2 linked regions of the Drosophila melanogaster genome follow. The protein of the gene in region 1 interacts with the protein of each later gene in a pairwise test. Each region holds a gene or a part of one and is shown on either strand. Other genes may lie near its edges.

Region 1 (4,725 bases):
CATTTCGGTCCGTGGGAATTTTGATGAGTTTCATTAAGTTTTGAAATAAATTTGAGCCGAAAAGTGGGTGAGTGTTACTATGACCACTGGGCTTATGGCCATTATTTTGAGCTTAATTTATGTGATTACCTTTTTTTTGCCAGCTTAAATAGATTAAAGGTATTTTAAAAACAAAAAAAAACAGTTTTAAGCATATTAAAGTTACTTAATACGATATTTTATAGAATAAATCCGTTGCCTTATTTATTTAGTGTCTGTATAAATAATGTATAATATAATGTATAAATATCATTTTTTTTCAGCTGTTCAAACATATTTATTTATTCTCATTGAGTTTTTAAATGTATATTTTGGTGCTTGTATTTATTTTCTTTACTTTATCCCATCCAGGCCAGCCCACATAGAATCCTTGGCCCAGCTTGCACAGGTATGTCCTTTTCCACACACACTTACATAGATGCGATTGTGTACATGTACACTCTCAAACAATCACATACACGATGAATTTTATTTATATTTCATAGGAACATAGGATTTCAGATAACATGAACTTTAGAGATCTAAAGTTAGGTAACTTACTTGATATTGTTAATCTGCCAGTTCTGCGAAAATGTTTTTAAACCATTTATTCTATTGTTTAGTTGTTGGTTAGGATGAATGAAAAAATGTAAACACACTTTTGTATGGTACACACAAACACGCGAAAAGGAACATGAACACAGATGAAGTTAAGTTGACTGTGGGCTTATTTGTGTTTATAGATGGGTGCCAACGTAATCACAACCATTGTTCACTATTTGGATTCATAAATCTTAAGTTTCACTCGAGTTTTAATTATTTTAAATGCGAAAACACAGAAAAATAGGCATACAAATTTACAGACGCTCGAATTTTGCTGTCAAACGGAGCAGACAATCTCTTGCTCTCTCTCTCGCCGTTCCTCTTTCCATGCGTTTCGTCCTGCGAGAGCGAGGCAGCTGTTCGAGTCCTGTAGGGAAAGGTCCTTGTTGGTGGTGAGAGGACATTCGCAACTGTCAAAATGACAGCGAAACATTCACAGAGCGCAGGCGCATGTTTCGTTTCGTTCCAAAACGTTTAAAGGAGCATATCCTGCGATTCCAGCAGGGGTTGCAATTCGCACACCCTCTCTCGCACCATGATTCTCTAGAGAAAGAGAGTGAGAGGGAGAGAGAGAGAGAGCAGACGACAATTACCTGAAGAATTGGCATTAGCCCATTTTCGTTGCGTTATAAATTGCGTTTGTCACTTTGGAGCATTCGCAGACTCGAGAGGTCCCAAACACATACGCATATCCTGGGTGTGATTTTACATTTCCACCCACTCCACCCACTTGGCAATGCCACCCCAAAAATACCCCATCTCCATGCAATTACATTTAACTTTCCTTGAGCAGTCTGCTGGGTTGGAATTAATTTTCGATTTTATTGTCAGTTAGTCAAACCCACTTGCTTAGCTGTCGCTGCGCCTGACTCTGATTTAATTGAAACTGCATGAATATGCAATTTCGGGCTATAAATTGAAATCTCGATTTCTCCGCCCACCCCGTTTTTTTTTATAGCCTTTTGGAATTTTCACTTTTAATGGCTCTCAGTTGGCTCCTTAGGAGTTTTCAACACACACACACACACTACGCACTCACATATTTGTACAAGTTATAGAACAGACTGGAGGCCAATGTGAACACACCTGAACATACACATATATAAATCCATAAAAATACTGCTAAAGAATCCGAAGGATGTGGGAAAAGCTGGTGAACTGCATCAAGAGCAATGGTGGCAATGGTGGCGTCAAGAATGTAAGCTGCCAAGTTGTCGAACTGGCGGATCTGATGAAACAGGTGCCGCCGAACCAGATGCACAAGTTCAAAATGTTTGCCAAGAAGCACGAGGAGTACAAGGAGTAAGATGGGGTCACCAAAAACAGGGAATTGGGGTCACCTGGGGGAGCATGAATTAAGTCTACCTTAGAAGGGCAGGGTCTTTACTAATTATTTAGGTTACAGCTTATGTTGCTTTATATGAGAATTATTTCCCATTGTAGAGAATAATATAAATATATTTTATAGCCGCGTTCGTAAGTATCCGGAATCGATGCCGACAATCGACTGGGAATACTACCGTCAGAATGTGAGAGAAGAGTTTGTCGATTGGGTGAAGGGATACGAGACCAAGTATGATAAATTGCATTCCGTATTCGAGAATCGACATGCCATAGTAGATCACAAGCGATACTTTGAACTCGTCGATGAAGAAAAGAAGGTGGTGACAAAATGTATTAGCGAATACAAGGCGGAGTCGGATAAAAGAATCCAGGAGCTAACCGAAAAGTTGGAGTTCGTGAAGGCAATGCGACCCTATTCCGAAATGACCATGGAGGAATTTTGTTTTGCCCGTCCGCACTTGGCACCCGATTTCATCAACAAGCCCACTTTCTGGCCACACACTCCTGAAGAGCAAATGCCAGGTCCATCGGATCCAGAGGCAGCAGCTGCTTTGCATCACGAAGAGGAGCCCGAACCGCCAAAGAAACCAGCTCCCGAAAAGTTACCAGATAAGCCTAGTGGAGAAGGAAAGCCTCCGGCGGCTGCGGCTCCAAAGGAGCCAAAAGAACCCGTTGTCGACACCTCTCAGTTGGCCGAAAAGGCCACTTTAATCGCCAAAGATTTGATGGCCAAAGCTATTGTTCTTTTTAATAGTCTTAAAGAAAAGATGTCGGGTCTGGCCAAGAATGTTCAGAAAAAGGCAGACGCCGCCAAAGCTGCGCGTTCCGAAACTGCCAGCAAATCCGCAACGCCTACAGCCGCACCAACCAAGTCACTGGACAGCATTACGGAACGAGAGTCTGGACCGAACATCTGCAACCAAACTATAATACGCAGCGAGGAGGCAGAGGCCAATCCGGAGGTTAAGGCCAGGCATACTAACCTTTCCATTGAGGCGGATCCTTGCGATGCCCAGGAGGAGCGAGCCAGGGAGATAGCTAGGACATTGGAGCGCAAGAGACAATTAAAAGAGGCGGAGGAATGGGAGAAACACAAGACCAAGAAAGATCCTTGTGACGCCGAAAAGGAAACTGATCCTTGCAAGCTCATGGAAGAGGAAACCGTTTGCAAGCCAGATCCTTGCAAAGCGAAAGAGGAAGAAGCAGTCTGTAAGCCAGATCCCTGCCAGCAGAAGGAGAAAGAAGATGACATTTGCAAGCCCGATCCTTGTAAGCCGAAGGACGAAGAGGGCTCCTGTGAAGATGAGGAGGATCCTTGCAAGAAGAAGCCGAAATGCGATGGTGATTACCAATTCGGTGGTGACAATGAAGGCGGTTCGACAAAATCGAAGCAGCAGGACCAGGTCTTCATCAACATATCCGAGTGCAGTAAGGAACTCGCCAAGCAGGAAGAAAAGAAATCTGGTGATTCGGGTAAGCCCAAGGAAAAGGCATCACTGTCAGAAATTCCACAAGGATCAGATCAAAAACCCGTGCTTGGCATGCAGATAACAGAATCCAAGGACTCTAAAAAGGATCACAAAGCTAGTATTGAAGGCGCAAATGAAATTGGTCCTGTGTATACAGATCCCAATCAACTTGCAGAGCTGCTAGTCCAGAAAAAGGAAAAACCAGTTATAATTGAAGAAGCACAGAAGCCCGAAGATGACAAACCAATTACCATATATCCCAAGCTAGAGATATCAGCCAATCCGAAGGGCGATCAAGTCAAGCAAGAAGCTGAAGGACAAAAGTCACCCAAGGATATGGCCAAGCAGGTGTTCACAATGGCCTCAGGAGCTGCTACTCTACTAACAGAAGCCACCAACACACTGGAGGACTTGAAGAGGAAGAAGGAGGCTCGTCTGGAGGCACTGGAACAGGCCTACACTTCGGCCCAAAGGCAGGCCCAAGGAGCTCTGGCCGAGGCATCGAAGGCCGTGGAAGCCGCCAACAATTTGGCCATAAGATCTGCCGAACAAACTGGCGAAGTGAGCAGCCGAGATCGCGAGGCATTGGAAATGGCCGAAAAGCATGCCATTTTGGCCAAAATGCTGGCCGGACGTGCAGTGGCCTTGAAGGACGAAATCGCTCGAGTTCTCAAGGATCTTAAGAAGAAAAAGTAATCAGCACAAACACTATTTCGTAATAATTTTCTACCAATTTGTGTTAGTTGTTTTTCGTATTAAATTTTATGTTACATTTGTTTACCGTTCAAAGTTTCGCTTTCATTTGATTTCGAATCTCGTTACGTTTGTTTTCATGCAAATTTTTTTCCAGGCCAGCTTTGCTGACCAAAAAGTTGGTTGGTGGGCATGGGCAATAAATTTATTCTTTTCCACTAGCTTCGCTTTGCTGTTACGGCTAAAAAGTTTTCTATTTGGATTTTGCAAGCGAAATGAGTGTGAGGCGTTTGTAGATTGCATAATTATGCTAATTTTGTTGTTTATCCACCCGCCAAGTGTAAAGGGGTATAGTGTGCGGATATGAAAAGGTGAGTTTACAGAATTATCAAACCTGTTTTTACATCTCTGTATGTGTTTACTAAAAAGTGCATTTGTATTGATTGTTTTACAATAATTGAAGGTGAGTTTATCCTACCTTATCACAATCTTACCTGTAAAAAAAGCAGGGTATAACCAAGTCAAACTAGTCCACTTTTTAGTTTCTCCATTTTGTTTGGCATTTCAAAGCAGCCGTTCGAAAAGTGTTGCCTACATT
Region 2 (4,267 bases), on another chromosome or scaffold:
TGAGTTCGAGTAGTGCATCTGGTGAAATATCCTTAAATCGGAAATTAAGAAAACTCTATGAATGCAAATTCCAGATACATAAGGCTATATATAGTTTTATATTTAAGCTTCAAGTTTCATATGAATGCTGATGCGAATCTTATTATGAAAGCGCACGTCTTGCCAGAGTACAGATGGCATAGTTCTTCTGCAGATAAATAATCAGTTAATAAACACCAACTGGTTATTGGCGGATCAAATGATAATCAACCGCCGATGATTACCTTCACCTTTTTCACTCCACGCCCACAAATTAGCCAGATCGATTATTGTCAATCAAGTGGCGTGATCTCGACGAAGTGCTCTCTACCCATCAATTTCCATAACATTCATAACTAATGGAAACCATAATTACCCATACTTGGAATCAATTTGAAAGTGAATGTGTTCTGATCAGAAATGCCAATCAACTAATTAATTGTAAGATAAAACAGAATAATCAAATTAAAGATCAATCTATGTTTTCAGTTCCTTTCTGTGCAGTAAAAAAACGAAATATTTGAATTTTTATAATTCTCTACATTTTGTATTTATAGCATTGTCAGCCGTTTCAGCTTCAAACTTATAGTATACACAAAATTATTATAATACATGTGTTTTTTTTTATTATTTTTTTTTACATTTTGTTCGTTTTTCTTCATCTTTTCAGGTTGGTTCTTCTTCGTGGGCGTGTGGCAGGATGGGCGTTTGTTCCTCACTCGATGTTTTCATTATTTACAATTAAAGAGAAGGTTGATTAACAAACAAAAGAGAGAATTGCGCGAAAGCTGAGACAGAGACGGCAATGTGTGTGTGTGTGTGTGAGGGAGACAGAGGCTGCCGGGAAAGTCCGGGGAATCCACGGCAGGACATGATGGACATGACTGTGGTACTGAGTATTTTAGCAGGCTTCGTCAGTGGATCGATCAGCCGTTTTGTGAGGTCGTCAACGTGCTTAATAAATTACAGAAGAGTGGTGTTAGCGGTGCAGGTGGTGCTTCAGGTGGTGCATCCAGCGGACTGCTCCACTTCCTTAGTAGTGGGCCACATGCGCGTGAGCGTTGTGGGTGGCGTATCCGTAGGCGGGCACCTGATGCGCCAGGGATCCGGCGTAGGGCACGGCGGGAGCGGCGGCCACATGGTGGGCAATGGCTGGGGCATAGGCCGGAGCGGCATGGACCACGGCGGGAGCGGCGTGGGCAACCACAGCGGGAGCGGCGTGGTGCACAGTGGGGCCGGTCTTGTGGACGACGGCGTTGAAGCCATTGTGGTCATCGGCGGTGTACTCCACGGTGCGCACCGAACCATCGGGCTCCACCAGAGAGTAGGATCCCTTGACGACATCACCATCACGCACTTCGTGCTGCGACTTCACGTCTCCGGTGTGAGAGTCAGCCACTCCGTAGTTGTAGTGGTACTTGGGGTAGGCCTGCGGATTGGCGTAAAGATTCCATGAGAAGAGTACGGGCCTGCTAGGATTGGGTGCTAATTTTATGTGCATGCCACACGCCACTCGAAGCAGCTGGCCATGCTAATGAAGCTAGCGTGGGAAAATGGCTAAATGGCAAATGCCACAGTGACCCTGGGCCACCAGCATCCACAGAGGAGTGGGTGAGAGGTTGTGCGGACTGATGGTGTCAGTTTTAGGGCATATTAAGTATAATTTTATGATTGCATGAACAGCCGGTAGGCTGTATAACTTTTTCGGGCTTACAGGTCGTATGAGTAATGTTTGCGGGAGGGATTACGTGTCGTATAAGTAATTTTTATGAGTCAAGATGCATGCATTTCTTAGCTCTGGATGGTATTGTAGTCGTTTGATTTTAAAAGAGCAATAAACTCATGATGCACATTTTCAATTAAGAGGAAGCTTTTCAAAATGTATGTTTTAAACAAGTCAAATGGATTCCAATAGTAGGACATTGATTTTCTTTAAGAGTTAGTAATCCTCATATGCGCTACTTTGAAAGTTAATCCTTTTTGGGTTATCTTGCCCACTTACATGGTAATCGATTCCCTCGTCGTGGTGACCATGGCCGGCATAGATGGCCGGGGCGGCGGCGTAGAGACCAGCACCATGTCCGTGGAGGACTCCGGCGGAGGCGGCGCTCAGGACGGCCAGGCAGATGAGGGACTAGATCACAGGGGATAGGGGTTTGTTTTATTAGTTTGCTATTTCGATTGGATCACAGGGCACTTTTGGCTGTCACAGGGCTGTCCTGTTCACTCACTTTGAAGAATGCCATTGTTTGGATTTTTGGGATTTTGTTTCTTGCAGACGCGAGTGTGTGCTGTACGTTGAGCTGGATTCAACTGATAACTAGAACCAAGAAGGAAGCCGCTTTTATATACAAGACAACGCCCGAGCGGCCCAAACCGAGCCGAGTCACAAAAAGCCGAATGCCAGTCGGTCAGCAGGGGCAAAAACAAAACTACAATGAAATACCAGCCAAAGCCGAGCTTTGCGGAGCGAAGCCCAAGAAGTTGAGGCCCCCACAACGCCCCTGCAACGCCCCCCCTTCCCCACCAACAATTCACAATTATTTAATGCTTTTCAGCGAAAAAAAACGAGAGTGAAGTTCAGTTCAGATGTGGAGCGACTGTTGGCTGGCTGTGGTTTGTCTTTGGAAATTGTCTGATTTCTGAGATAACCGGCGATGTATGCAAATCGAAGTCGAAATAATTGTGAAATGGAAGGGAAAACCTCACTTAATGCGAGTTCTATCTGCTGAAATCAATACTCGTATTAACATATCAAATTGGCCATTATTAAGGCGTATTAATTATGAAATCATGATCGGAAAAAAGTTGGCTATCTATATATTACCATCTCCCATCACGATTTAATTGAAATGGCCTTTGCAAGCTCTAAACTACCTAGCAAAAACAATCTTCGCGCACGAATAAAATTAGCCGTAAACACAAATATTTATGAAATAAAAAGACAATGGCTGAAATAAGTTAAAATTGCATTTCGGTGGGCGGCGGTGTTGCAGCCCCCTCCTGAAAATCCCCATGGTTTTTTTCTGTTGCATGTTGCAATTTGTTCGCTCGTCTGTTTCGTGGGCTTCAAGTCGAAGTTTTCTATGTTCTACGTTTTCTGTGCCTTATTTTGCTTGCAGCGGGCGTCGTCTGTCAAATCTTTTGGTTAATGTGATAGTACACTGCCAAAAATGGTTTGAGGTATTGTAGATTAATTTCGAAGTCTTAGTAAAACATCAGTGGTATCATTCCACTAAAACGAGCTACTGACTCATGAAATCCCATAAATCTTGAGATATTTTTGCAATACTTTTAACTAAAGTCAGCAAGTGGCTTTGTTCTTCAATTGTTTTCCAGTGCACTGACTGTTGTTCCTACTGACACTTTTTTAATTGCCATGTAGGCCGTTTTGCTTATTAAACCCATCTGGGAAAGACAAGAGGGGTGTGCTATGGGGAGGCCACCACCCGAAGACGCTGTAGAAACGCCTTTGAAGTGGGGCGCAGCGTGGCGCCACATCATTATGGCCAAAATAGACGCCAGTTCAGCCCCAACTCATTACCAGGCCAAAACTACGAACAGTAAAAAAGCAAAAGCGTTTGGTTTTGTCATATTTTTGAGGGCTGCCTTGCTTTGTTTTACGGCATATTTGCGCCAGGCTTATGCTACGTACTTGCCCTGCTTCGACTCATTTAATAAATTGTCTCGAATTAGTAGCTCGGCTCTGACATTCCCCCTTTGGTGCCCCCCCCCCCCCCCCCCCCTCTGAGCCACCATTTATGCCAGGCTGGCCATCGCGTACTACAAATTGAAGTAATCATCTCAAGGTTAGCACGACACAGCAGCAAACGACGTGTAACGGATCACTAACAGTTTTAATCTCAGCAGGGGCGTAGTTAAAAAAGAGGGTTTACTTATCCGAAAGTTAGTCCAGATTACTTTACACATGTTGATTTTCGTAGAATGGGCAGTTGGGAATGGTTAGTTGGTAAGTAAGTAGACAATGAGCTTCCTTAGAATTTAATTATATTTCTTTAAAGTTTCCCATCCCCCCTTTATGATATACCCCTCTAAATATTCAAACTGCATCTTTGAGTTTGCCTGAATTAGAGCACGATCTGATTGCGTCCTTTGTTTGCGGAAAATGACGCACCGTCGTGGCCAATTAATTGAATTTTTGCAGTCGAGACTTTGAAAAACTAGGTTTCGATTGGGTTCGAGCAAAAATGCTGTAATTGATTGCCTTTTGATGGAAGATTGAGCCATA

What was found. The genes of interacting proteins can lie anywhere in the genome.
Region 2: the proteins of knon (region 1) and Cpr62Bc interact in a two-hybrid assay, tested with the Drosophila melanogaster proteins (one large-scale study listed by BioGRID).

The regions. Positions count from the first base shown.
Region 1 is NT_033778.4:16,496,384-16,501,108, reverse strand, and holds knon (knotted onions), read left to right. Parts: upstream 1-1,679; 5' UTR 1,680-1,759; coding exon 1,760-1,923; intron 1,924-2,089; coding exon 2,090-4,130; 3' UTR 4,131-4,220; downstream 4,221-4,725.
Region 2 is NT_037436.4:1,839,741-1,844,007, forward strand, and holds Cpr62Bc (cuticular protein 62Bc), read right to left. Parts: upstream 2,345-4,267; 5' UTR 2,265-2,344; coding exon 2,250-2,264; intron 2,153-2,249; coding exon 2,021-2,152; intron 1,448-2,020; coding exon 1,052-1,447; 3' UTR 541-1,051; downstream 1-540.